4 linked regions of the Elephas maximus indicus genome follow. The protein of the gene in region 3 binds, or shares a complex with, the protein of the main gene of each other region. Links are inferred from orthologs where the notes say so. Each region holds a gene or a part of one and is shown on either strand. Other genes may lie near its edges.

The links.
Region 1: CHD5 (region 3) and CDK2AP1 share a complex: the UniProt entries of both Homo sapiens proteins name them as parts of the nucleosome remodeling and deacetylase (NuRD) repressor complex. The link is inferred for Elephas maximus indicus from reciprocal best matches to the Homo sapiens genes CHD5 and CDK2AP1.
Region 2: CHD5 (region 3) and CDK2AP2 share a complex: the UniProt entries of both Homo sapiens proteins name them as parts of the nucleosome remodeling and deacetylase (NuRD) repressor complex. The link is inferred for Elephas maximus indicus from reciprocal best matches to the Homo sapiens genes CHD5 and CDK2AP2.
Region 4: CHD5 (region 3) and RBBP7 share a complex: the UniProt entries of both Homo sapiens proteins name them as parts of the nucleosome remodeling and deacetylase (NuRD) repressor complex. The link is inferred for Elephas maximus indicus from reciprocal best matches to the Homo sapiens genes CHD5 and RBBP7.

The regions. Positions count from the first base shown.
Region 1 is NC_064840.1:6,984,419-6,991,608, forward strand, and holds the start of CDK2AP1 (cyclin-dependent kinase 2-associated protein 1), read left to right. Parts: upstream 1-4,186; 5' UTR 4,187-4,203; coding exon 4,204-4,312; intron 4,313-7,190. UniProt on the Homo sapiens protein: Inhibitor of cyclin-dependent kinase CDK2. Also acts as a component of the histone deacetylase NuRD complex which participates in the remodeling of chromatin.
Region 2 is NC_064825.1:130,539,537-130,545,907, reverse strand, and holds CDK2AP2 (cyclin-dependent kinase 2-associated protein 2), read left to right. Parts: upstream 1-4,124; 5' UTR 4,125-4,160; coding exon 4,161-4,367; intron 4,368-4,453; coding exon 4,454-4,586; intron 4,587-4,895; coding exon of another isoform or gene 4,896-4,951; exon of another isoform or gene 4,952-4,976; intron 4,977-5,328; coding exon 5,329-5,396; 3' UTR 5,397-5,858; downstream 5,859-6,371. UniProt on the Homo sapiens protein: Acts as a component of the histone deacetylase NuRD complex which participates in the remodeling of chromatin.
Region 3 is NC_064821.1:45,356,230-45,363,747, reverse strand, and holds the start of CHD5 (chromodomain-helicase-DNA-binding protein 5), read left to right. Parts: upstream 1-4,509; 5' UTR 4,510-4,593; coding exon 4,594-4,672; intron 4,673-7,518. UniProt on the Homo sapiens protein: ATP-dependent chromatin-remodeling factor that binds DNA through histones and regulates gene transcription. May specifically recognize and bind trimethylated 'Lys-27' (H3K27me3) and non-methylated 'Lys-4' of histone H3.
Region 4 is NC_064846.1:162,733,795-162,740,891, forward strand, and holds the start of RBBP7 (histone-binding protein RBBP7), read left to right. Parts: upstream 1-4,076; 5' UTR 4,077-4,385; coding exon 4,386-4,401; intron 4,402-5,169; coding exon 5,170-5,314; intron 5,315-7,097. UniProt on the Homo sapiens protein: Core histone-binding subunit that may target chromatin remodeling factors, histone acetyltransferases and histone deacetylases to their histone substrates in a manner that is regulated by nucleosomal DNA.

The sequences.
Region 1 (7,190 bases), on a different chromosome or scaffold from region 3:
AGTGCTGATACATGCTACGACATGGATGAACCTTGAAAACATGCTGGGTGAAAGCCATTCACAAAAGGCCACATATTATATGATTCCATTGGTATGAAATATCTAGAATGGGCAAACCCATGGAGACAAAGTAGATCAATGATTGCATAGGGCTGGGGGAAGGGAGGATCAGGAGTGACTGCTAACCAATGCAGAGTTTCTTTTTGGGGTGATGAGAATGAAAGGGGCAATGGTTGCCCAATTGTGAATATACTAAAAAACACTGGACTGTACACTTCCAAATGGTGAATTTCATGCTATGTGGATTATATCAATTAAAAAAAAAAAAGGAAAAATATTTGTTGAATTATGGCCAGGATCTAAAGTGAGGGACTATGCATTGTGGTCAAAATACAACAACAACTCAAGTGAATACCCCAGAGTTTTGTAGAAGGTACAGGGCAGGCTGCTGAGAGCTGCTTTCTTGCCCTCAAGGAAACAGAGGCCAAGTCAAACAGCTAAAAGGTGGTACGGCCAGCACTAGTACCCACGTCTCTCTGCCTTGTGAGCCCTCTGCTTGTAGCTTCTAGCCCTGCTCTGTCCAACATGGAGGCACAAACCATTGTAGCTACTGAGCGCTGGAAACAAGGCTAGCCTGAATTAAGATGTGCTGTAAGTGTAAAATTTTGTAGACTAAGTACAATTAAAAAAAAAAAAATCTTAATTATTTCCTTATATTGATTACATGTTGAAATCACACTATTTTGGATATTGGGTTACATAAAATATGTCGTTAAAAAATAATTTCCCCAGGTTTGTACTTTCTAAAACATGACTACCACAAAATTTAAAATTATATATGTGGCTGGCATAATATTTCTGTGGGACAGTAGCGTGTACTCTGGAGTACTGGTCCCTGGGGACAGTACAGAAGGGGGTGACTGTAAGTTATTCATGGAATAAAATTTCACTTAGCAACCTTTGGTGGGCTAGCCTACAGCTGATCACAGGATGCTTTTTTTTTTTTTTATGTATTACTATAACATACCTAAACCAAACCCACTGCCATCGAGTCAATTCCAACTCATGTCAACCCTACAGGACAGAGTGGAACTGCCCCATAGGGTTTCCAAGGAGCAGCTGGTGGATTTGAACTGCCAACCTTCTGGTTAGCAGCTGAGCTCTTAACCACTGTGCCGCCAGGGCTCCATAACATAACATACCTAGGCAATCCTTTATTGTTGGATACTTACGTAGCTTTCTTTTTTCTTCTTTGAACATGTTGTCAGGGACAGCCTCATCAGTTAGGAATTGCACTCAGGTAAAAACCTGGTTACAGTGGCTTAAACACATAGGGTTATTCTCTTCTGTAAAGGAACTCCAGATGTGGGCAGCTCTATGAAGTCTCTACTTTTCTACTCCACCATCTTTAGCGCATGTCTTCCATCCTCAGGGTTATAAGATGGCTGCTAGAGTTCCAAATGTTATGACAGAATTTCCACGCAAGAAGCAGAAGTAACGCCAAATTGATTGTTTCAAATGTTACTAAATAGATTGGGTGCCATTTGTTAATAGCCAAACACAAAGTTTAGTAAAACCTTTCTAATTATTCGTTGGTTCTATTTAAAAAAACCATCTCTACAGGCGAGGCGGTTCTGACTCATAGCAACCCTATAGGACAGAGTAGAGCCACCCCCACAGGGTATCCAAGGAGTAGCTGGTGCATTCGAACTGCCGACCTGACCTTTTGGTTTGCAGCTGAGCTCTTAATCACTGTACCACAGGGCTCCAGTTCTGTCTTACCAAACCAAAAAAACAGACCCACTGCTGTTCAATGTCCAGCCTGGACATGGCGACCCCACTTGTCTTGCCAGTGGGTTCTAAAAAAAATCCACTTTGTGATAGACCAAATTTTACCCTCGACGTATAAGCAGTAAGTAGTATCTCGGCACCAACAACATGTAAACCACCAACAGTCAATCCCAATGGGAAAAAGAAGACATACCACTTCCATTGCTTATGGCAGCATTCAATAGGGTGTACAGAAGATAATCAAAAAGTGGGTTGAGTTGAATTGATGTCACTCCAGATGAAGGAAAATCTAATTTATGTCCAGAAAGGAATAATAATCAGTTGCCATTGAGTCAATTCCAACTCATGGTGCCCCTCGTATGTCAGAGTAGAACTGTTACACTTAGGATTTTCAATGGCAGATTTTTCAGAAGTAGACCGTAAAGCCTTTCTTCTGAGGCGCGTCTGGGTAGACTCAAAGCTCCAGCCTTTTGGTTAGCAGCCTATGGCAGTAACTGTTTGCACCAGCCCCTCGGGACTCCAGAAAAGGAATGAAGCAGGCACCATTCTGTTGCCCTATTTCTAGATGGCCTTCCATGATTTCCACTATGAAATAGGTGCTGTCTTGACCTCTACTCCCCACTAGGATGTGTGCTCCATGGACTAGTTGGGTTTGGTTACTGTGACGTTTTCCAAGAGTACTCCTTGGGTGCTGGTTTCGGGGCAAGGGTGTCACCTGCACCATTAGTCGTAGAGGGAGGGAAGAAGGGAAAGACTGGGTGGGTATCCCTTCTTTCTTCGGTGGAGAGGTCACTGAGATCCAGCAATGACGTCTAAATGTGAGTTACTAAACCAGCAAACCAAGGCAAGAAAAAAAGTGCGCCTCCTGTTTATTTTGGAAAGCTTTACTATGTAGCCAAAATCCAAGAAATAGCCCCCCCCAAAGGTGATTCATCAAATCCGAAATGCATTTTATGATTATGTCTCTGATCAGAGAATGGGCTTGGGTGGGGTCGGAGGAGGGTGGAAATTTGTGAGTAGAAACTTCGCCAAGGTCATTCTTGGCTCCCTAGTGCCTAGGAAGGTGCCTGCCATAGAGCTGGTGCTGCTTAAATATTTGGATGCGTTAGTATTCAAAATTAGGTGGATGCCAGGGTGAACTGTCCCGAGGAGAAGGCCTTTGGCGTTTGTCAGAGCCTTAAGGAGTCATAGGCCCCCACAAAAAGGTTAAAAACCACCTAATACACAGACAAGAAGTTTATTTAAAATCAGTGTCAAGAACTGGTTATTCTCATCATGGGTAAGAGCCAGCACTCGGTATCTGGAAAGATCTCCGTGCTTAAAAGCCCCAGTCGCCACCATTTTCTCCAGGTAATTTTCCATCCCTGCCCCCACAGCCAAAAAAAAAAAAGGGGGGGGGGGAGAAGTCATTCTTAAATTCTACCTAGCTATTAAAAAAAAAAAAAATTAAGCGGTAGATTAACGTCCTCCCCTCCCCGCGTCGCCGGAAACGAAGGCAGAAGAAAGGGGCCTCGCGCGACCGGCCGCCCCCAGCCCCCCGCCCCCCAAACTTTGCCAAGTTGCGGCGCCGGGCGCCGGGCGCGCGCGGAGGCGCGGGGCGCGGCCGGCGGGCGGAGCCCTGACGCCGGGGGCGCGGGCGCTGGGCCGCCCCCTCCCGGCCCGGGCCACCGCCGGCTCCGCACAAAGTTTGCGGCCGCCCCTGCGCCCGCCGATGTATGGGTGATCGACTGCGGCGGGCGGCAGGGTGAGGGACGGCCATATTTGCCGGTGCGCCCGCGCGTCCACAACAAAAAGTGCGCGGGAGCCCGGCGGGCGGACGGACGGGCGCACGGCCCCGCCGCGGAGCCGCCTCGCCGCCCCCGGCCCGCCGCCCCGGCGCGGCCCCCGTGGGGGGATGTCGTACAAGCCGAACTTGAACGCGCACATGCCCGCCGCCGCCCTCAACGCGGGTGAGTGAGCGCCCGGTCGCGCGCCGCGCCAAGTGCCGCCAAGTTGGGCCCCGCGCGCCCGGCCGGCCAGGGGCTCCCGGGGGCCTCGCGGCGTGGCCGGGGCGCCGGGCACCGGGTCCGGCCCGTGGCAGAGCCGCCGCCGCCGCCGCCATGATTCCGGCGCCGCGCGCCAAACTTCGCCGCGTGCCTCGTTCCCCCCGGGCCTGCTCGTGGCCGGGCCGGGGGTCGGGGCGCTGGCAGCCGCGGAGCCCCCACGCCGCGGCCGGGGGATCCGGGGACGGAGCGTGCGGGCCGGGAGGGAGGGAGGCTTTTCTTGCTCCTTTTTCCTCCGGCGGCTTTTGGGCGGCTCGGCGAGGGCCCCTGCCGGCGGGAGGCGGCAGCGCGCGGGCGCCGCGGGGCGCGGGCGCCTGGGGCGCGGGGCAGGCCCGTGGGGGGCGCCAGGCTGCGGGGCTTCACCCGGGCAATGCTGGGCCCAGGCGGGAACGCCGGGTTTGCCAGGCTGCGGCCGCCCCTGGGGGCGCGGGGCCGGGTAGACGGGCCCGGAGGCACTGGCCTGGCCGGGGACTTAAAGGGTAAAGGGGGTCCGGCCTGGCGCGCGGAAACGGGGGGCGCCCAGAACGGGACTTGCGGGAGACCACCTCTTGCGCGCGCAGAGTCAAAGTAGTTGGGGAAGACCCGCGGCTTCTGGGTGTCTTGGGCGGTGGGTGAGGGCGGCATTTCAGGGGCCCAGATCTCGGAGCCCCTAAGTCTGTCATGGAAGGCCCCCCTTCTGCAGAAATCGGGAGGTACGCATCTCCCCTCCCTGGAGGGCAGGGGGTCTCGGAAACTCTTCCAGAAGTTATCAGGCAACCTTCCTTAGGCTGTGCCCAGGGGGTGGGGTACCTGGGAGACCGAGGGCGCCGTCGGGGAGGGGAGGTAAAATTGTTGGGGTTGTGGGGTGATTGGCTTTGTCTCCTCACCAGGGACCTTTAGACACTTGATTGGAAGCATGCGTCCAAAAAAGCGGGGCGCCTTGGTTGGGGGAGAGGGCCAAGGGCCTTGCCCTGGGGTGGGGGGGGAGGGTTGGCTCTGCTCGCCAATATGCCAAGCTGGCAGCTTGCCCCGAGTTTCCGGCCTGGCCTCCAGACGTTGACTCCATAACTACAAAAATTCTAAAGGGACCTATAAGATTTAAAGAAAACAAAAAAACTTCTTGGACACTGAGGTTTTGGGGTTGGGAAAGGGTTAAGATTAAGGTTGCAGATTGGGGTGATCTGAATTGCTCAGATGTGGGCTGTGAGCCGCCGAGAGCAAACAGCCCCCGTTTTCTCACATGCCCTCACCTCCCGTGGGTCCGCAGGCCTTCCTGAGACAGGCTTTGTTGCCTAGGTAGGATGTCTTCTGCTTCCATCTCTCTGGGGGTGGGCAGGGCGGAGGGTGGTGCCAGCCTGGACAGGCGGGAATTCTCAGGCTGCCCTGGTGTAGTTGAGGCAGGGGCCCCACACTGGGGTCCTGAGGGATTGGGGTCACTGAGGGTAACAGGGACACCCACTGAGGACCCCTGCAGCCCTGTTCGGGACTAGCTGGCACCTGTAAACAGTCTTTCTTCTATCTCCTATGGTGCATTCCAAGAGGAGTGCTGTCCCCAAATCGCTGTTTTCTTTTGGGGGGCCTACATGCCCCCTGCGGACCCCTTTGCAAAAAGCCCTGTCTCCCCATTTGCATCCAAGATGGACTCTCCGCGCCCCTCCTCCCGGCTTCCCTGTCATCATCCCTCACGCCCTGCAGCCCAGCCTCCTGCTCGTGGGTGGGTTGCCAAGCCGTGGCCTGGCCGGCGGTGGCGGAGTTAGACAAAGCCCCCACGTCCCCGCTGGAGAGGCCCCCCCTCCCCGGGGCGCCCCGAGAGGCGGGAAGGCCGCCAGCTCCCCAGGCCCGGGCCGGCTCTTTGTCTGGCGTGGGGGCGGGGAGCTCCGGCCCCAGGAGCTTCCTGGCCTCCTGCTCCTGCACACTGGCTCATTGTCTGATGCTCCTCCGCGGAGGGAGACGCTGCGCTGACGTGGAGTCTGCTTCTCTTGGTGGCCTCCCTCCGCCGACCCAATGGCCCTCCCTGTGTCTGCGGGAAGGAGTGGCCAGGAGAGGAACTCGGGGGCCCTTTCTCCAACTCTTTCCAGGGCCAGAGACACCCCCTCCAGCACTGAAGAAGGGACTGACAGTGGCATAGGATGGGGGTCACACACTATGCTGCTGGGGTGACAGGACAGTCAAGCCCTGAGCTACTGCCTGACTGCCCCACTCCCACCAAAATGGGGCAGTTTCTCACTCCTACTCCCTTTCCCCTTGGCCCCCAAGACCTGACTCCAGTGCCATCAAACAGCAGGGTCTAGAGCCTTTAGTTGTTCTACTGGAAACCATTGCCTCAAATAGCTGGGGAAACTGAGGCCCAGAGAGGGAAGGATGTTGTCTAAGGTCACACAGCCAGGAGTGGCCCTTGCCCATAGGAGAGAAGACAGGGCAGGGGGAGAAAAGACAAGGAGGTGGGGTGGAGCAGAGGCCACAGGGAGGTTCCGGATCTCCTCCTGCCTGGAGCTAGTGTCTTCTAGAGGCCTTGAAGAGTTGGGCCACTCACTCTCCCCAGGTTAGCACTTAGCATCCATACCTTCCTGAGCCCAGGGAGGGACCATAACTTGTGTGGGGCAGGATTAGAACTCAGGTCTGGGTGCACAAAGCCTGTGTTTCCCAAGCCATACTCACCACCCCCTGCCTTCCAGTCCCCTGGAAGGCTCAGGAAGTTGGGGCTTAGCTGATGTGGTGGGGGGGGCGGGGCTGGAGGGGGCACTGGCCCTGTCCCAGGCTGGGCTCTGGCCACTGAACACCTGCCCTTGCCTTGGAGTGCTTCCCTGATGTGAGTAGCACTTACAGGTGTGTTGTCATCCCTACCTTGTAGACAGGGAAACTGAGGCTCCAAGCAGCCCAATAATTGGCCCTTGACCAGCTTGGGGGTGGCACAGTCGGGATTCAAATCACGTTTCTGGGTGGCCTCCCAAGCTTCAGCATAAACATGGGACTGAGTAGGGGCAGCTGGGCAGGCCTGGGACCTGAGAGGGTATCAAGTGCAGAGCTGCTCCAGACTCCTGGACAGGAAGGTGGGCATCAGTGGAGCTTCTGTGCTGCGTCACCGGGGCGGTCTCTGGCCCAGATCTGTGTCTCCCTCCCTCTACCGTGAGGGTCCCTGATCCAGGGTTCCCAGGGGCCCCTTCCCGCTCCCTGTGCCTGAGCTCCTGAAGTTACTTCCGCCCGGCCCCTCCCCTTGCCCATCCCAGTCGAGCAGCTGGTCGCTTTGGCCGGCCTTGGCACCAGCTGTCCATCCCGGGGCCAGGTCTGTGAGGCTGCTGTGTGTGTGAGAGGGACCGTTTGGCTCTAGGGGTGGCGGGAGGGGAGCTGCTCCCCATGGGGCGTGGAGTCAGGCAGGCG
Region 2 (6,371 bases), on a different chromosome or scaffold from region 3:
TGCGAATTATCAGCAGGCATTCAAACCACAATGAACCAACTTGATGTTGACCTTGATCACCTGGTTGAGGGAGTGGTGGTCAAGTTCCTCCAAGGTAAAGTTATTGTCTTAGTTCTCTAGTGCTGCTATAACAGAAATAACACAAGTGGATGGCTTTAACAAATGGAAATTTATTCTCTCACAGTCTAGTAGCCTAGAAGCTCAAATTCAGGGTGACAGCTCCAGGGTGAAGCTTTTTCTCTCTGTTGGCTCTGTGGAAAGGTCCTTGTTTTAAATCTTCCCCTGGTCTAGGCGTTTCTCAGAGTGCAGGGACCCCAGGTCCAAAGGACATGCTCCCCTCCTCGTTCTTCATTCTTGGTGGCATGAGGTTCCCTCCTCTCTGTGCTCTCTTCTCTCTTGTATATCTCCAAAGAGATCAACTACAACCTAATTTTACAGATTGAGTCCTGACTCATTAACATAACTGCCTCTAATCCTGCCTCATTAGCATCAAACAGGTAGGATTTACAACACACAGGAAAAGCAGATCAGATGACAAAATGGCAGACAATCACACAGTACTGGGAATCATGGCCTGGCCAAGGTGACACACATTTTTGGCCGGCACAATTCGATCCGTAACAGTTAAGTTTTTTCTCTCCCTTTCCATTCTGTACTCTTTGGAAGAAGGTCACTATGCACAGCTCACATGTAAGGAGGGAGAAGTTATTCTCTGTCTTAGTCTGGGTTCTCTAGAAGAGCAAAACCAGTGAGGCAGACATAGATATATATAGAGAGAAACTGACTTCAAGAAAATGGGTCACACAACTGTGCGGGTTGGCAAGTCCCAAATCAGCGGGTCAGGTGGCAGGCTGAAGGCTTCTCGAACCAGAGACCTGGAGGTCAAGCGACCAGATGAGAAGAGTACAGGATCAAAAAACACCAAGCTTTGCCAGAACATCCATTTACATACTGGAGGCAGGTCCCACTCCCAAGAAAACTGCCTTTTCAACTGATTGGCTACTCACATCGGATCACAAAATGTAAGATGATTAAAGAAAAAAAACCCAAACCTGTTGCCATCAATTCCGGCTCATAGCGACCCTGTAGGACGGAGTAGAACTGCCCCATAGTTTCCAAGGAGCCCCTGGTGGATTTGAACTGCTGACCTTTTGGTTAGCAGCTATAGCACTTAACCACTACGCCACCGGGGTTTCCCATGATTACATAGTGTTTGCCAAACCACTGAGAATCATAGCCTAGCCAACTGGACACATAGCATTAGCTATCACACGCTCCTGGAGAGCAGCATCTCTACGTAAATTATTTCGAATTATTTCTACAGGTGATTTCTCTATTCTCTCCCATTTGTTTATTTATATCACTATGGACTCACGGGTGTTTATTTTATACTTTGGGTTATAAGGAAATATTAAGTAGATGGAAAGACCCTTGAAGAAGTTTCATGCACAGATGACGTTACGGAAACACCGTATGCAGGTATCTCTGCTTCCTTATACGCTTGCCACCCAGGTTCTTCTCTTGCCCCTACTGTTATCTCGGCTGCCCTTGCCTGCTTTCCAATGAACCCTCCAGGGAAAAACTGACCTGCTGTTCCCCTATTACCTGTGCTTTCACAGTGCCACACCTTCGCGTGTACCAGTCCCTCCACCTGGGAAAAAGGGGTAGTAATGGAGGAGGGTCAGTGTGAGTCAGAATCGACTCAACAGCAACAGGTTTTGTTTAATGGAGGAGGAGGTCTGAGATCTAGGGTCATGAGAAATGAGATTTGATGGGTACGGGAATGAAAAGGCTTTGAGGTACTGGAGTGAGACAGGGACAAGAGAAATGAAACAAATAAGCACTTCACATACATCCATTTAATCCACACAACATAACCCTATGAGATAGTTATTTTACAGACGGGGAAACTGAGCCATACTAAGATGAGATGGGTGGTGTTGAGATTTGAACCCAGGCAGTCTGACTCCAGGCTGTGCTCTTGTCTGTGATCCTTTAGTACAGGCATCACGTGCACCAAGTATTCAACCAAGGTCAGCTGTTACTGCTGTTGTCGTTATCTGTAGCAGAGGTGTGGGGTGTCTTGGGTGCAGGTTGAGAGGTCTGTGAGGTTGCCCTGGGATCCAACACCAGCCTTGAACCTGTTGTTGTTGTTAGGTGCTGTCAAGTCAGTTCCGACTCATACCCGAGCCAAACCAAACCCATTGCTGTCGAGTCGATTCCGACTCACAGCGACCCCATAGAACAGAGTAGAACTGTCCCACAGAGTTTCCAAGAACCGCCTCGTGGATTCGAACTGCTGACCTAATCAGCAGACATAGCTCTTAACCACTACCCACAGACTCATAGCAACCCTAAATAAAACAGAAGAAAACACTGCCTGGTCCTGTGCCATCCTCACAATCGCTGGTATGCTTGAGCCCACTGCTGCAGCCACTGTGTCAATCCATCTTGTTGTCTTCCTCTTTTTCACTGACCTTCTACCTTACCAAGCATGATGTCCTTCTCCAGGGACGGATCCCTCCTGATAACACGTCCAAAGTATGTGAGACATAGCCTCACCATTCTTGCTTCCAAGGAGCATTCTGGCTGTACCTCTTCTAAGACAGGTTTGTTCGTTCTTTTGGCAATGCGTGGTATACTCATTGTTCTTCGCCAACACCACAATTCAAAGGCGTCAATTCTTCGGTCTTCCTTACTCATTGTCCAGCTTTGACATCCATATGAGACGACTGAAAATACTATGGCTTGAGTCAGGCGCACCTTAGTCTACAAGGTGACATCTTTGCTTTTAAACACTTTAAAGAGGTCCTTTGCAGCAGATTTGCCCAATGCAGTCCCTCTTTTGATTTCTTGACTGCTGCTTCCATGGGTGTTGATTGCGGATCCAAGTAAAATGAAATCCTTGGGAACCCCAATCTTTTCTCCATTCTTCATGATGCTGCTTATTGGCCCAGTTGTGAGGATTTTCCCTTTCTTTACGTCGAGATGAAATCCATACTGAAGGCTGTGGTCTTTGATCTTCATCAGTAAGCACTTCCAGTCCTCTTCACTTTCAGCAAGGCTGTGTCATCTGCATAACGCAGGTTGTTAATGAGTCTCCCTCCAATCCTTGAACTGAGGACCTGCCAATCCAGAGAAAAAGGCTTGGGTGGTGGCGTCGGAAGCTGGACCCGTTGCCATGGGAACGAACGAAGGCTTTAGGCAGCCGCATGCGCAAATCGGAGAGAGGTTATTGAACCGGGAAAAGGTGACGTAAAAGCGCACAGGGTGGGGCGCAGGGCTCGGAACGTCAAAGCCCTGAGTCCTTCGGCGTCCGGAGAGGGGGACAGGCGCGCTTGGCGGCGGCGACCGCGGCGACAGCAGACCCAGCCGAACCGAGACTGGGCCGAGGTCCGGGCGGCCCGAAGCTGACGCGCGAAGCAGCGCTAGTAAGGCGCAAGTAAGGCGCCGAGAAGACCCCTCTGCGCGATCCGCGGCGGCCCAAACCCAGATCCAGGTTCCGAGGCCCCGCCCCGGGAACCCTGGGACTAATCGGATTGAGAGCGCGCCGGCCCGGGCCGCGAACTCGCCAATTGTGGAGGGCCTCTGCCGCCACCCAATCCGGAACAGACAGGTGCGAGGTCCGGAAGACAGAGGCCAATCAACAGCGGTTGCGGCCTGCTGGGGCGGGTCTCGGCCAGTGAGGAGGTTTGAATGACATTTCGGCCTGCCAATCGGGAGTGAGAGAGCCTTCGAGCCCGCCCGCCCTTCCGGCCAGCGCTCTATTTACCAGGGGCGTGCAGCCCGCTTGCCAATCAGCGCGCAGCTGAGCGGCCAGCAGCCAACCCCGGAGCAGCGGCCGGCCGGCGTCCGCCCGCACCCGAGAGTCGGGGATGTCCTACAAGCCCATCGCCCCCGCCCCCAGCAGCACCCCCGGCTCCAGTACCCCTGGGCCCGGCACCCCGGTCCCTACAGGTGAGGACCCAGCTCCACCCCTGCTCGCCTCCCCGGGCGCTCGAGGTCTCCAAGAGAAGACGGCCTGAGTTCTGCAATACCGGGCCTGCCGCCTACCCTCCTGGAGCCTCAGTTTCCTGGCCTGCGAAGTGGGCGTGGTGACGTAAGGGCTTGTAGGTGGGGCGCAGGGGGTGGGGTTTGTCCCTGAAGTTGACCAGCCTGGAATGAAGCATCCTTTTGGAGGGAATCGGAAACACTCGGCCCGGGGCTTGGAACGTTGGGAGGAGGCGTCCCTGCCCCGTGCTGACCTCTTCCTCGCGCCCGTTGCAGCCGGAAGCGTCCCGTCGCCGTCGGGCTCGGTGCCGGGAGCCGCTGCCCCTTTCAGGCCACTGTTCAACGACTTTGGACCTCCCTCCATGGGCTATGTGCAGGTGAGTGGGACGGCCAGCTTGCTTAGGGATGAGGGCTGGTAGCCCACCCGGGGCCTGAGCTCACTGCCCTGTTCTCTTTGGCTTAGGCAATGAAGCCACCGGGCGCCCAGGGCTCCCAGAGTACCTACACAGACCTGCTGTCGGTCATTGAGGAGATGGGCAAAGAGATCCGGCCCACCTATGCTGGAAGCAAGAGTGCCATGGAGCGCCTGAAGAGAGGTAAGCAAGCTCAGGCGCACCCTGCCCTGACGCCGAACAACCTCTTAGGGAAGGAAGGCCATCTGGAGGCCACCTGAGTGGAGCCTAGACCTCGAGCCAGTGTCACTATCCAGAGAGGGGTTTTGAATTAAATTTAAATCGAGACCATTTCCAGGGAGGGGACTGGGTGTTGGCATTTTAACAAGGAAAATTTGGGGTTTAGCCAAGCCTCCCATCTCATCCAGTCTCTTACTGAAAGGAGGCGCCCTGGTGGCACAGTGGTTAAGACCTTGGCTGCTAACCAAAGGTTTGCCTCTTTGAATCCACCAGCTGCTCCTTGGAAACCTAATGGGGCAGTTCTACTCTGTCCTATAGGGTTGCTATGAGTCGGAATCAACTCCACGGCAACAGGTTTGGTTTTGTTTTGTTTTTTTTAACTGAGAGGAAGGAGCCCTGGTTGCACAATGGCTAACTATTCTGCTAATAACCAAAAGGCTGGTGGTCCGAACCCACTAAGTTTTTCTGTGGAAGAAAGATCTAGTGATCTGTTTCCATAAAGATCACAACCTAGAACATTTCTTTGAGGCAGTTCTACTGTGTCACATGGGGTCACTATGTGTCAGAATTGACTGGAGGGCGCTCAACAACAATAACTACAGACGGGAAGAGGGTGGAGGGGCAGGATCTTCCTCTGGAGGTTGGGGTGGGCTCTGGAGGGTTGCTGAGACCCCGTATGTTACTCCCCCACCCCTCCCCACCCCAGGCATCATCCATGCACGGGCCCTAGTCAGAGAGTGCCTGGCTGAGACAGAGCGAAACGCCCGCACGTAACAGGAAGCGCCTGCACCTCAGCGTCCGGACCCTTCCAGCCACTGCAGAGCACCAGCTTCTCCCTGGCCTTCACCCCGAGTTGCACTCCCCATCCTGGGCCTCCTGTCCTGTGTCCCTTGGTGGGTGCCCTCCAGGAACCAGGGGCAAATCCCACTCCGATCAGCAGCACTAACTGAGGCCCCGTGCAATAGTTAGCAGCAGGGTCACTATGAGACCCACCCATGACCTACCAATAGTGTTGATCCAGCTGGAACGTTCTCCTTTCTGGGGCCTCCACCACTCAGCACTTATCCAGCACTGCTGACCACTTTGTGTCCCATCCCCTTGTCCCCCAGCAGGTCTCGGAAGGCCTGTCACCTCCCTGCCTTGTTTCCTGGGCCATAGCAACTCTTTTCTCAGTGTGTCTTTTGCTAAATATGCCCTTTTTGTATAAAATAAAGATGATTTGAAGTTGTTCTCTCAGCTTTGAGCCTTTCTGGGTCTGGTTCCTCTGCCAAGCCTGGGTGGGCCAGACAAGGAGGGGAAGGGATGGGGCGGGGAGGTGGAGTGAGATGGGGCAGAGACCGACTGAACCTGGCCTGGCCTTGCTTCTGCTGCCCATTGTCCCTTGGATGGGCCCCAGCTCAGGCTCTTGGCCTTCCAGTTGTAGGTGGTGGAAGGGGTTGCAGGAGTTGAGAGCCCTGCACCCCTTCGTGTGGTGCCACGAGGGGGCAGCACAGGGCCTTGGCTGCCCGTACAGCTAGCGGGCACTGCTGCTAGCCTGGGCCTACAGGGCTCTTCTTTGGATTACAAGTAGTGCCTGGCCGGGTGGCCGGTTCACTTCTGCCATTCCCTCATATGCCTTAATGCCCTAACAACATCCTCCACTCTGAATCTGCCCTGGGAGGCTCTGAGTACACCCCAGCCCCGACTCCTTAGAGGAGAGGGGCACTCTCCACTGCCCAGCACTGTTTTCCTGGCAAACAGGGTCAAGGG
Region 3 (7,518 bases):
ACATAAACAGTGACTATACATGTGGACCTCACCAGGTGGAATACACAGGAATCAAATCACTACATCTGTGGAAAGAGACAATGAAGAAACTCAGTATCATCAGTCGGAACAAGGCCAGGGGCTGACTGTGGAACAGACCATCAGTTGCTCATATCAAGTTTAAGTTGAAACTGAAGAAAGTTAAAACAAGTCCACAAGAGCCAAAGTATGACTTTGACTTTGGGTACATCCCATCTGAATTTAGAGACCACCTCAAGAATAGATTTGACGCGTTGAACGCTAATAACTGAAGACCAGACGAGTTGTAGGATGGCATCAAGGACACCCTATAGGAAGAAAGCAAAAGGTCATTAAAAAGACAGGAAAGAAAGAAAGATCAAAATGGATATCAGAACAGACACTGAAACTTGCTCTTGAATGTAGAGCAGCTAAAGTGAATGGAAGAAATGATGAAGTAAAAGAGCTGGATGGAAGATTTCAAAGGGTGGCTTGAGAGGGCAAAGTAAAGTATTACGATGAAATGTGCAAAGACCTGGAGTTAGAAAACCAAAAGGGAAGAACATGCTTGGCATTTTTCAAGCTGAAAGAACTGAAGAAAAAATTCAAGCCTCGAGTTGCAATATTGAAGGGTTCTACAGGGAAATATTAAATGATGCAGGAAACATCAAAAGATGATGGAAGCATCAAAAGAATACACAGGTTTACTGTATCAAAAAGAATCGGTCAACGTTCAGCCATTTCAGGAGGTAGCATATGATCCAGAACCGATGGAATTAAAGGAAGAAGTCCAAGCTGCACTGAAGCACTGGAGAAAAACAGCTCCATGAACTGAGGGAATACCAATTGAGATGTTTCAACAAATGGATACAACGCTGGAAGCGCTCACTCATCTACGCGAAGAAATCTGGAAGACAGCTACCTGGCCAACTGACTGCAAGAGATCCATAGTTGTGTCCATTCCAAAGAAATGTGATCCAATGAATGTGGAAATTATTGAACAGTAGCATTAATACTGCACACAAGTAAAATTTTGCTGAAGATCATTCAAAAGCAGTTGCAGCACTACATCGACAGGAAGCTGCCAGAAATTCAAGCCAGATTCAGAAGAGGACGTGGAATGAAGGATATCATTGCTGATGTCAGACGGATTCTGGTCGAAAGCAGAGAATACCAGAAAGACGTTTACTTGTGTTTTATTGGCTATACAAAGGCATTTGACTGTGTGGATCATAACAAATTATGGATAACATTGGGAAGAATGGGAATTCCAGAACATTTAACTGTGCTCTTGAGGAACCTGTACTTAGACCAAGAGGCAGTCGTTCGAACAGAACAAGGGGACACTGGTTGGTTTAAAAATCAGGAAAGGTGTGTGTCAGGGTTGTATCCTTTCACCAGACCTATTCAATCTGTATGCTGAGCAGATAATCCGAGAAGCTGGACTATACGAAGAAAATGTGGCATCATTATTGGAGGAAAACTCATTAATAACCTGCGATGTGCAGATGACACAACCTTACTTGCTGAAAGTGAAGAGGACTTGAAGCACTTACTGATGAAGATCAAAGACTATATAGCCTTCAGTATGGATTACACTTCAACATATAGAAAACAAAAATCCTCACAACTGGACCAATAAGCAACATCATGATAAATGGAGGAAATATCGAAGTTGCCAAGGATTTAATTTTCCTTGGATCCACAATCAATGCCCATGGAAGCAGCAGTTAAGAAATTAAAGGATGTATTGCATTGGGTAAATCTGCTGCAGAAGACTTCTTTAAAATGTTAAAAAGCAAAGATGTCACTTTGAGGTCTAAGGTGGGCCTGACCCAGCCATGGTATTTTCAATCACTTCATATGCATGCAAAAGCTGGACGATAAATAAGGAAGATGGAAGAAGAATTGATGCCTTTGAATTACATCATTGGCAAAGAATATTGAATATACCATGGACTGCCAGAACAATGAACAAATCTACCTTGGAAGAAGTATAGCCAGAGTGCTGCTTAGAAGCAAGAATGGCGAGACTTTGTCTCATGTACTTTGGACATTTTATCCGGAGGGGCCAGTCCCTGGAGAAGAACATCATGCTTGGTAAAGTAGAGGGTCAGCGAAAAAGAGGAAGACCCTCAACGAGATGGATTGACACAGTGACTGCAACGATGGGCTCAAACATAGCAAGGATTGTGAGGATGGCACAAGACCAGGCAGTGTTTTGTTCTGTTGTATATAGTAGGGTCGCTATGAGTCGGAACCAACTCAATGGCACCTAACAATAGCAACACTTTGGGTCCAATGTGATTAAAATGCACAAGTAATAGTTTTACAATATTAAGAGCTCTCTTTTAAAAATGACTGGGTATTTCTAGTCAAAAATCTATTTGTTTAAAACCTGACCATCCCAGCTTTTGTTTCACTTTGTTTTTGGTCATTAAGTCCTGTTACCTAGCTGCAATCATCCACAAGAACCAGGATGGGGAGTGGATTGTGAGTGAGGAGCCTCGCCGCTCTAATCCATGGCCAAATTAAGTAGATGGCACTGCTGTTTCTTGAATGATACCATGGCTTTCTCAGCCTGGCCTTAGGAATTGGAGCCAAGTTAATGGGGGTGGATGGGTGGCTCTCTAGTGACTGGTAATTATTGTAAGGCAGAATTTCTCTAAAATGGGACAGGGTACCTTTGGGAGTGTCTGACCTCATGGGGTCCATGCCTCGGACAGGTGTTAGGGGATGGCTGAGGGCTGGACAGTGTTTGCTGGTGCTTAGTTTTTTCCCAGCTGGTTAACTTTCAGGAAGACAGGCAGGTCGGAAAGAGCAAAGACGCGAAAAGGAGTGCTTTGGGGCTCCCCTGGCTGGCTGCTCAGTGACATGCAGGATTACCTTAGACTGGGAGCAGCCCCTTGGTTTTGAGCTGGCTTCCCCGCTGGCTTCCCTTCCCCCTTGCAGCTGGCCACACTGGGCTGATTCAACATCTCCATCTACAGTGTGGTTTAAAAATGATCCGGGGGATGCAGGGGACTCTGGGCACCCTGTCCTTGAGGCCTGGGAATGAACGAAGAGAATCTCCCCAGACTATTGCCTTGGGCCGGCACTTGAAGTCCCCGTAGCTTGGGTTGTGGCTGCTGCCCCAAGAGGTCTTGCTCTGGGGGCTCTCAGCTGATGGGGCACCACTCTAATGATTTTCCAGAGGCACGGAGACACTGGGGGCAGGTGAATGCTGGCCCCATGAGGCAGGTGCTCAATCAAAACAGGAGGGGCAGTGCTAGAGAGGTAACCTCTTTTCCCTGGGTGTTGTTGATTTCCCAGGTCAGGCAGATGCGGGTGCCTGGCAGCAGGTGGGACGCCCAGAGTGTCTGGCCATGTCTGGTCAAGGGAGTGAGGGTGCCGGCCCTTCATTGGCCCTTCTGGCGATTCTGCCCGCCACGAAACTTTTGTGTTCCTAAAGCAGCTTCCAGACCCAGCTCCTTGCTGCCACCCAGACTAAAGACGATCATTTAATATTCCTGTCTTGCTCCCGAGGGCTTTGGCCTCTAGCTCCACCTTTACTAACCTAGCGCGGATGCAACGGCGCCTTCCCGCTCCGCGACAGGTGTCGCTTCTGAGCGGAAGTTTTGGGCACAGAGGACGCAGAACTGCACTACCCGAGGGGTTTGGATGTGTTTCACCTGGACCCAGACAGAGGGGGACGATTTGGAGGCGGCACGTGGGCGGTGGGGCGGGGTGCTGTGGGGTGAGGGAGGAGCCGGCCTGCACGGATTTTTCTGGAGGATTCAGGTCTACTGCCTCCAGAACTTCCCTTCCCCAATGAGGGACACGTTTTTCTTCTAATCTTCTCTCAAAAGGGGGTCAGAAGCGTGCCGAGGCCGAGCGGGGTGCGGGGCTGCCAGGGTCCAGGTCCATGTGAGTGGCGTAGGGAAACTCCCTGCACGATGCCCTGAAAACCCCGCCTCCGCGCCACTGGGGACCTGGGGCCGAGAGCCTCCTCTGGCGGGGGTGGCGGCGGCTGGCCCTGTCCGGGTGCAATGGACAGTGTCCCCGCCTCCCCTCGGGCCTGGGCTCGCCTTGGTCACAGCTGCCCGCTCGGCCGTCGGGTCCTTCGGCGCGCGGGCGCCTCGACGGCTCCCCCTGCCGGAGCGCCCTGTCCCCACCCTCCACCCGGCGGCTCAGGACTAGTCCCCTCAACTTGGTCTCTGCTGTTAACTAGTCGCGCTGCCGGAACGATGGGATGGGGTTGCCACAGCAACCAGACTGGACGTCACAATCCGGGCATGTGTGCCGCCCCCCCGCCGTGCCGCCGTGCCGCCGGCGCTGCCGCCGCCACCCCTCGGCAGGCTGCTGCGGGACTGGGCTGCGGAGCGCGGTGGGCGGAGCAGCCCGGGTTTTGCGGGGAGCACGGTTCAGGCGGCCGCGAGGAAGGGGGGTCGGGACGGGGGGGTGGAGGTCTGGGGGGGTGGGGGGCAGGCGGCCGCCATCTTCTCGCCGAGGCCGCCTCGCCCGCCGCGCGCGCCCGTCCGGTAGCGCACGGGTTAAGGCTGGCACGGCGCCCGGCGGGAGGGGGGGCGCCCACCTCCCCTCCCCCCCGCGCCGGGCATGCGGGGCCCGCTGGGCACCGAGGAGGAGCTGCCGCGGATGTTCGCGGCGGAGATGGAGAACGAGGACGAGATGTCAGGTGAGCGGCGCCGGCTGCGCCTGGGGCGCCAGGGCGGGGGGCGCAGGGACGGGCCTTGGCCGGACCGCGCAGGCAACCGGCCCGGGCTTCGCCGCGCGGGAGGGGCCCGGGCTGCGGGCTGCGCTCCCGCCCTGCCGGCGCCGCGCGGCCAAGGGCGCGGGGTTGGGCGAGCGGGGCGCGGCGCGCGGGCTCAGGGCGGGTGCGACCCGGGCACTGGGCGGGGGCGGCGGGCGGGCGGGCCGGGGGCTCGGGCGGGGGCCTGCCAGGGACGCGTTCGGCTGGGAGGGGCCCGGTGCGCCAGGGTCAGCCCGGTGCCCTTGAAGGGGGCGGGCAGCGCGCTCCGCTCCTGGAGCCCGCCCCCCGTGCTCATGTCCCGGTGCCCCGCGCCTCGGGGCCCCAGGGCGTGCTGGGTGGGGCCGGAGCACGGCGGGCACAGGCCGTGCTTGGGGACCCGTCGAGCGCCCGGGCTGAGCGGCTTCCCTTTGGGCCCACGAGGGCTCCAGGCAGGGGCGCGCGGCCTCAGGGTCCCGCTCCTCTTCCCCAGCCGCTGTGGGTGCCGCTCCCCGAGCACTTTGCCCGGGTTGCCGGCGCCCTCCTGGCGCGCCGTAGAGCCAGCCGCTGTCTGCAACCCCAGGGCGCCCAGGGTAGTGGCGTTCACAGCCCACCGCGCTTTGGCCACAGGCCTGACGGGCACGCCAGGGGCACCGCCCCTGCCCTGCAGTCTCTCAGAATTCACCCTAATTATATCTTACTAAAGTCAGGGGCTTACCTGCAGGATGTCTTTAGTTAACTGCTTGCGGCTTGTTTGAGACATTTGCCTCCTGGCACATCTGGGCTGCGCCTTACCCTTCAGCCACCTTCCATGCCTGCCCTCTTTGGGGGGCTGCATTACTTCCCAGCGTCTCAGCACGAAGTCTAGGTCCCTCATTGACTTCGAGAAACCCAAGGGTCTTGCCCTGGCCCGGAAATGTGCTGGCCAGGAGCATCTTCCCCAGGGGAAAGAATGCTCCATCAATTAAAAAAAAAAAACAAAAACGTTGCTGCGGAGTCACTTCTGACTCATAGGGACCCTATAGGACAGAGTAGAACTGACCCACAGAGTTTCCAAGGATCTCCTGGTGGACTCGAACTGCCAGCCTCCTGGTTAGCAGACTTAGCTCTTAACCACCATGCCACCAGGGTTTCCAAAAATGGACACCCCAATTCCTGAAGACAGAGCAGTGACACCCCAGGCTGCCCAACATCTGCCCAGTGAGGGGCTTCTTGCCCTGGCCATAACCCCTGAGGCCCCTTCCCCCCCCACACTTTGGCACCCCACTTGTGCTTGGTGGTTTGCTCAGTGGCTTTAAAGGTGGGACCGGGGCTCCTATGGCAACCTGGCCTAACTCTATCCTTCAGACATTTAGGCCAGGTTTGTGAAGAGTCTGTTGGGTTGAGGGGAGTAGGAGTACGATGGCTCCCGAGGGTTGCTTGGACAATAGTTGACTATTGCATCCTGGGTTGATGGAATCACGCCCATTGCCTGGAGAGGCACATGGAGGCCCCAGCCCAGGCAAGGATACTGAGGCCGTTGTCCACCCCAAGGCTGGCTTTTTGGGAGCAGTAAGTAGCTCATGGTGGTGTTTGTTGCACGGCCACTTTGTGGTGCTGGTGGGGCAACGGACAGCTGAACATGTCTTTACAGGTTACATGTGTTACCGTTTCTGGAGCTTCACTGACACCTCCCCACGGAGTCCCCTGCCTGCTTTCGCGTCACCTCCTGTGGCTGTCAGGGTCCATATTCCTGATTGTCAGGGTGCAGAGTTTGAGAAGGGAAGGAGTCCAAGGAAGGTGCCCCAAACTGTGGGCTTCCAGCTCACGGCTTGGGCCCAAGTCTGCCACCATCATCCAGCCTCTTCCTCCTTCCTGTGCCCTTGGGTGCCAGACCTGGGCAGGATGAGTGGGGGGCATCCCCAGAGCCTCCAGGAATGCCCCCGAAGCTCTGTGGAGGAGCAGTCCTGCTCTGACACCTCAGACCTGGGAGTTCCAGCCCAACCCAACAGCAAGACTAGATGTGCCGCCTTCTGAATATGCCCTGAGTCTTCTCACTTTCCCAGCTTCTCTCCACCTTCTTGGTCCAGGCCACTCTCTGGCTGTAAAAATGGCATGGCGGAGGTGTCTGACCTCCTCTAACTTCACAAGAGGGGAGGAGAATCAAGATCAGTAGCCCAAGGCTGATTGCTATGAGGCAAAGGTCAGACATACCTTCTCTGCAGCCTTTTTACCAATTCTGACACCAGCCATCCCTCCCCTAGCACCCTCTGCTGGGTTTGATAATTTGTTGCAATGGCCACACAGAACTCACAATACTCACTATTTTGGTGTTTATTTGGGAAATAACAGGTTATAATTCAGGTTCAGGAATGCGTAGGATACAGTTCTTTGATCAGGATAGCCTCTGCTCAGGTGTGCCACAGGGAGGCCTCTCTCTGACCCTGGGCCACTTGGGCCCTTGGGTCTCTTGGGCCAACCTGGCCTCTGCCCTGCTCAGGCAAGTATTACAAAGCTCTCTTAGCTCTGCTGATAAGTGCCTGGAGGTATCCTACTCTGCCAGTAAGCCTCGTGCCCGAAGGCTCTCAGCTCTCTCACCCTGTGGGTTGGCACACCCACTATAACTGCCTTGCGCTGTGGGCCAGGAAGCCCACTGTGCTGTCTTTTGCCAGTCTCCTGCTTCTGCTGCTGCTGTTTTTCTGCCGTTGCTTCTCACTGTCTCTTGCTGTCTCCGGTGTTACTGTTCTCTGTTTCTGTCTCCTGTGTCTAGGCGGTTTTCAGTGCAGGGATTGTGGTTCCAAAAGATGTGTTCCATG
Region 4 (7,097 bases), on a different chromosome or scaffold from region 3:
ATTCTGGTCTAGGTCATTTCCTTTATTCACTGTCACCAATGAGGACCTTGTGTTGCTTAACATAAGTAGCTAGCACAACATCGTACGTTGGTCTTTTTGAATCCAGACAGACACCCCACGAAGGTTAAATATTAACACATTTATAAGTATAAAACAATTACTTCAGTTTACCTAATAAAAATATAATACCAAATGAAAACAAAGTACAAGCTCAAACAAGTACAGTATGTTTTCTATTATAATAATTTTCCTTTAACTCCCTCACACAATTAAACAATATTTTAAGAAAATTACCTAGAATTCTATCACACTAAGATAATTCTTTTCATTTGTCTGCATTACTCTTCTACCATTTAGTCAAATATTTTTTCCTAAAATGTGTGGGGTGTTGTTCTTTTTTTTTTTCCTGTTTACAGGAGTAATGTTGTCTACTGGAGAAATTTTTAAAATAGAGCAATATATGAAAAATAAAATAACCATTATCCATATTACCGGTACCAGGAGACGATGGCTATTAATATTTTAGCGTATTTTCTTTAGCTCCTGATGATTTGGATGAAAACAATATGACCAGAAACAAAATTGGTATTTGTTACATTCCTCTTTTGCACGTTAAATTTTCAGATTTTTTTGTAATGAGATTTGCTTTTGTAATAAGAAAAACAAGCAATAAAGGAATGTATAAGAAAGCGGGATCTCTGTATGTCTTGTTCATCCATGTGCCCCAGTTCCCAGCACACTGCTTGTGTTGGGAAAAATATTTGTGAATGGCTAAGATTTTCACAAAAAACTAGTGAGACGGGGTTGCTAATGAGAAATAATGGGTATTATTTCTCTCGCTCCCTCTCTTTTTCCTTTTAGCAAACAGTTCATTCTAGAACATACAATCAGTTCTCAATAAGCTTGTTGTCTTTATTTAAGACTGACTGGATTCCAATTTCAACTCCAACACTCAGTAGCTATGTGACCTTGGCCAGAAATTTCAGACTCTCAGACTCCCCCATCAGCTTCCTCAGCTGCACAGCGCTGGTTCAGGTGCTGGGGATTTAACAAAACAAAGGCCACACCCTCACATTTACATTCTAGGGTAGGGGAGATAGCCTAGAACAAACCTCTGTCAGGTGGTGATAACTGCTATGAAAAAAATAAAATAGAGGAATGGGGCTACAGAGTGAGCATGGGTGGGGCCAGGTGGGGAGTGTTGCTATTTTATAAAAGGTGGTCAGAGAAAGCTAAAGATTTCAAAAATATACCTAGTGTTTTTGTGCACTTCAAGTTGAGACTGATTACGATCATGAAATCAATTGAGGGTGATCTGCATATTTAAAAAAAAAAGAAAATATAAAACCCCAGAGCAAATCACAGTTTGGTGTATAACTTGTTTCAGTTTATGTACACGTGTAGTTCTCCGTGGAACACCGTTGGGGCGGCCTGGAGAAAGTGGTAGTTAACACTTAGCAATTTTGAGGCAAGGGCTCTCTGAAGTAAGACCCTCCTCACCTTGTGTGTGCACCTGCTTCTGTTTTAATTAACAGCTCTAGCTGAGTACCAAAGAGACAAAAACACTACCACAGTAACAGCGGGAGAAAAGATCAGGATCAGGGCAAAGTGGCTGGGGAGAAAGGCAAAACAAAAATGAACAGTCCAGCAATTCAAAAGAGAAAATTGGTATCACATTTTTTGTGCTAAAAGTACCTGATGGGAAAAATATTAAAAAGAGAGAGAGAGAAATGAATTGACACATCCAATTTAACAACACAAACAAAAAACCCCCCAGCAAAATCCAAAGCTAACAACTATGTCGTGCATACTTCCCGATTAAACTTACGACTACTGCCTGCGCTGACTTGACGGCAACTAACAACAACTGGGTGAATATTTTCAGAAACTTCTAACTTATTGGTTCCATAGTCCCTTCTCTGACCCTCGGTGAGGTAGGCAGTATAAAGATTTTAAAGCCCTATCATCTGGGAAGATTTCTTGTCTTTCAACCCTGTAAACATTTAATTAAAAAAAAAAGGTTTGGGAAATCATGCCTACCCATTAGAAATGAGTAAGTTATTTTAATGGGAGACTGGAAATCTCTGCCAAGCCTTTTCTTGCTGTACAGACGAGAAGGTTCGCATTGAGGCAGTAATACCCAATTATTCCAGAGCAAAGTCAGCGAGCCAAAGCTAACCCGCCGCCTGTTTTTGTATGGCCAGGAACTATGAATATTTTTAAGCGATTGGGGAACAACAAAACGAAAGAAGAATATTTTGTGACGTGAAAACTTTATAAAATTCAAATGTCAGTGTCTATAAAGTTTTATTGGAATAGCCAGGTTCATTCGCATTGTTTATGGCTGCTTTAGTGCAACAACAACGGCAGAGCTGAGTAAACCAAAAAACAAAAAACCAAACTCACTGCCATGGAGTGGATTCGGACTCAGAGCGAGTCTATAGGACGGGGTAGAACTGCCCTATAGGATTTCCAAGGAGTGCTTGGTGGATTCGAACTGCCGACCTTCTGGTTAGCAGCCGAACTGTTAACCACTATGGCAACAGGGTTTACAAACCAAAATACCAAACGCCTTGCGGTCGAGTCGATGGCGACTCATATATAAATGCCTGCAATGCCTAAAATGTTTACTATCGGGCCCTTTGGAGACAAAGTTCGCCGGATCTGGGTTCTAGAATGTGAGGGCTGTACTGCTTAAAGTACCTTCCAATCCTCTTCCCTCTCCAGCCATCACCTCAGGCAAGAAAAGATTCCTGTGCCTGACGCGGACAGAGGGCGATTTATTAATGAATTGTATAGTCAACCCAAAACACCGGACAGTAAATTTCTATATAAGGTAACAGGAGTGGCTCTGCCACCGACTTGAGTGATTTCTGGGTTTCTTCTACGATCACAAAATTGAGCATCACCCCAGCACTTGCACTGTCTCATGCGAGCGTCGCCGCGGTCACCCGCGTGAAGGCATTTGGAAAGTTGTCAAGGCAACCAGTGCTCCGAAGATACTCTTGAAGGGGGACTGCAGTTCTCTTTGCCTGTCAGTCCCTCAGCCGCCTCCCCCACCCGGCCCCTCGACTTCGGCTTCGGGCCCTGATTTTCGCCTCTAGCTTCCCCTTTCGGCTTTCCAGCCCGCGTTCTCATCCCCACACAGTCCTCGGACTACCAAATTCCCGCGTCGGGATTCAGGGGAGCTGGGCCAGCTCATTCCAGCTCTCCCGGTTCCAGCCGGTTGAGGTGAGGTCGCCCCGGGACCCCTGCAGGCAAGAAAAGTGGCTCGGCAGGGTGCGGGGCTGGGCCCGAGGCCCCTGCAGTGCAAGGAGGCCGCACTTAAAGACTTAAACGTGCAAACAAACGAACACTTTATTCCAGTCGGCCTTGGCTCCTTTGGCACCGTTTCGGCTGCCTGTGTCATCGCAGGCCGCACGTTCAGCCTAACAGGGCGGCCTGGCGGCCCTGCAGTCAGAAAACGCCCGGGGCCTCTCCCAAAGGCCCCTTCGACGCCCACAAAGCCCACCGCAGCCCGCCTGGGTCCGCCGCCGGCTCCAGGAAAGGCCAGGCCCTGCTGAAGGGGAGCCTTTCGGGGTGCACAGAATTGCAAGGGGATGACTACTGGGGAGGTTTTTGAGAGTGCACTAATTTCTCGAGAACAGAAAACACTCCCTAAGACTACGACCCTGAGTCTCTGAATTCCTCTTTCCCTCGGGCCTTGGCTTCGCTAAGGTCCTCAAGCTCCCTGCCCCCCTCTCCCGCCTCCCGCCTCCCCGCCCCCCCCAGCCGCCGCTTCAAACAACCACGCCCCGCGGCCCCAGGGCTCGCTGCCCCAAGGCTCACAGCCCCCGCGCAGCCCGGCACGCCGCGCCTCCATTCGCCCTGCCCCCTCGCCCCCATCCGCCCCCGCGGCCGGCCCTGGGAGTGCCGGGCGAGGCCTGGCGCCTGCGCCTCGCCAACTTCCTGCCGCGGAGCGCCCCGCCCACCCCCAGAAGCCTGCCCCCGAACGCCGCGCGAGACCCGCCCGCCTCACGCCATTGGTCGAGACGGAGGAGCCGTTGGCTCCCAGGACCGCCTCTCCGCCGCCTCTCACTTTTCCCAGAGCGGGTGCGCCTGCGCTCAGCTGCCTGGGCGGGCTGAGAGGCGCGGGTTGAAAAGTCTCGTTCCAAGTTTGGAGAGAGAGAGAAGAGCGCCTCAGACCTCGGTACCTGCGAGCGTGAGGAGGCAGGAAAGAAGAACGCGGCGTCTGGGGAGGACCCAGGCGGCAGGCCGGAGCTCAGGCTTCGAGAGCTCGAAGTGCGTGACGCGCCTGGGAAAGGCAGGAGCGTCTGCGGTCGAGCTGCACTTGGCTAGTGAGGGGAGTCCGAGGCGGCGGCGAGGGGCGAACGACCCGACGCAAGATGGCGAGTAAAGAGAGTAAGAGGCCCTGCGGGGCGGCGCGCGCCGGGCTGCGGGGGGCGGCGGGCGAGCCAGGCCGCGGCACGCGCCGGTGAAAGGCGCGAATCGGCGTGCGGAGCGGGGGCGGGGCCGGCGCGAGGTGGGGCGCGCGCCTCGAGGGGCCTGCGCGGGACGGGCCGCAGCGCTGAGGGCGCCGAGCACTTCCGGAGCCGGGCGCGGGGCCCAGGGGTGGGCCCCCGGCCGAGGCGCTCCCTCCGGCGTCCTCGGCGCGGGAACGGCGGCTCGCTCCACGCGCGCGCGGCGGCCGCCTCGGGTCGCGGCCCTGGTCGGCGGGCTTCGGGAGCGGGCGGGCCTATGGCTGTCCACGCGGGCGTCGTGGGAGCGGGGCCTAGCGGGGCGGGGGCCGGAGGGCAGGGGCTGATGGTTGTCCGTTCCGTGTGCATTTGTCTGTCCGAGCGGATCGGGATCCGGGTCGTCCTTTTTACACAGGTGCGAGCAGCTGTAAGAGACCGAACAATCTCTAAGGTCAGCGGCAGTTTGATGGCCGTGTAATTACCGAGATCTGTGGACGCAGGAGATACTGATCTCACAGTGCGAAAAATAAGCTGCTTGGTGTTAATATTTTCCCCACGTTCCGGAGGAGCAGTTTGTTGTTCGTGTCCAAATTCGAGAGAGGGGGGAAAGAGTAGGTTAGGTGTGGCCATCTCGGGGCGACCTCCAGTCGCTGGGTGCAGATTCTGAGTGTCGTCTCTCAGCTTAATCCTGTGGGCTTTCTCCAAATTGCAGTGTTCGAAGATACTGTGGAGGAGCGTGTCATCAATGAAGAATATAAAATCTGGAAGAAGAATACACCGTTTCTGTATGACCTGGTTATGACCCATGCTCTTCAGTGGCCGAGTCTTACGGTTCAGTGGCTTCCTGAAGTGACTAAGTAAGGGTTTCTGGCAACTTTTATTCTGCATAAATTTAACTGTCCTCATGAATTTCCTAGTTTTGGCGTTTTACACACAGAACATAAGAGGTAATGAATTGGCCCTTGAATGAGGTGATAGGTTGTGTTTTCAAAATTGAAGTGATTTATGGGATAATTTCTGATGTATAAATGTGCCATTGAAAAGGGAGAAAGAATCTGTTGACATTAATAATGTTTATAGGAAACACAAGGCATTTGACATTTCTTGGGTTTATATAGAGAGCAGTATCTGGGCCTCAGACTAGTGCATTTCTGTAAAATTTTATTGAAAAATGGCATATGTACAGAAAAAGCACACAGATTGGAAGCATATGGCTTGATAAATTTTTACAAAGTGAACACACCATGTAACCGGCACTCAAGACAAATACCTTTTAATTGGCAAAGGAAAAAAGAATTTGGCAACAGTCCACCAAAGAAAGGGTGTTGTTACTGGCTTATAGTGTGAAATACACTTTGAGATTGCTATTAGTCTTCATAAGAGTGGTCGTTTCAGCTAGTTCTTATATTTGTCTGAGTAATAATTGCTGATAGGGAGCCCTGGTGAGCAGTGGTTAAAGCACTCAGCTGCTAACCGGAAGGTCGACGGTTCAAGCCCACCAGCCTTTCCTAGGGAGAAAGACGTGGTAATCTGCTTCTGTAAAGATTATAGCGTTAGAAACCCTTTGGTGCAGTTCTCCACTGTCCTACAGGGTTGCTATGAGTCGGAATCCACTCGACGGCAAGTGGTATCGGTAATAATTGCTGACACTTACTGAGCACCTAGAACAGGGCCTGTCGCATCTGAAGAGTTTTATGTCCTATTATTTGGTGTAATCCTCACAGCAATACTATGATATAGGCACTTTTTATCGTCTCCGTTTGCTGATCAGAAAACTGAGGCTGAGCGCTTAAGTGATACGTCCGAGATCATGCAGCTGGTAAGTGCCGGAGTAGATGTAAAAACTCAGAAGACTGGCTGGCTCCAGAGTTCAGGCAGCCCCTGCGCTAGACACCCTCACTCAACCCCATTTCTGTCAGGAACGTGGCTATGTACATATTTTTAAAATTGTATTGGCTTTGGATATTGTGAGCATATAATTCAGTGAACATCTAATCAAATTCTAACCTAGAAAGAAGATTTTTGAAAGGTTATGATTTTATCTAAAATTAATTTACTTCTATAAGAACTACATTTCCCATATGCAAACATTGAGCTCCACACAGGTAGGGGCATCCATCGGTGCTCCTGAAAATCTGAGTGTAAATGTACAGATAAGGGAAGAGTAGCCACGAACCAAATAATAGAGACTTCTAAACGTTGGCAGTTGTAGCTGCCTTTGAACAGATTTTTAAAATAGAGTGACCATCATATACTTTAAAGATACGCAGGTGCTGGATTGGAGCATCCTGTGAATTTGACTCTCTCTATCTTCCTGTTAAGCAAATTTAAAACTTTTCAGCAACTTACTTCCTCTTGAATTTCTTGACTTACTCTAACATAATAGGAGAAAACAGGGGCTTTAAGGCCAGAGATCTGGGTTCAAATCCTGCCCCTGCTTCCAGGTAGCCTTGTGGCCTGGGCCAAGTTGTTAGTTTGTAATCCCTACCTGCCCAAGGTGTCTGTGAGTGGAGATGCCAATAGTGCCGACTGCCTGCACTGGAGGTAAAGCCTCTGGCACAAACTAGGTGGTAACTGTTAAATGTTACCTGTAATGTGTTTTGCTTATATTTTTTTTTAGCAATAATCTGTGTGTTCCTC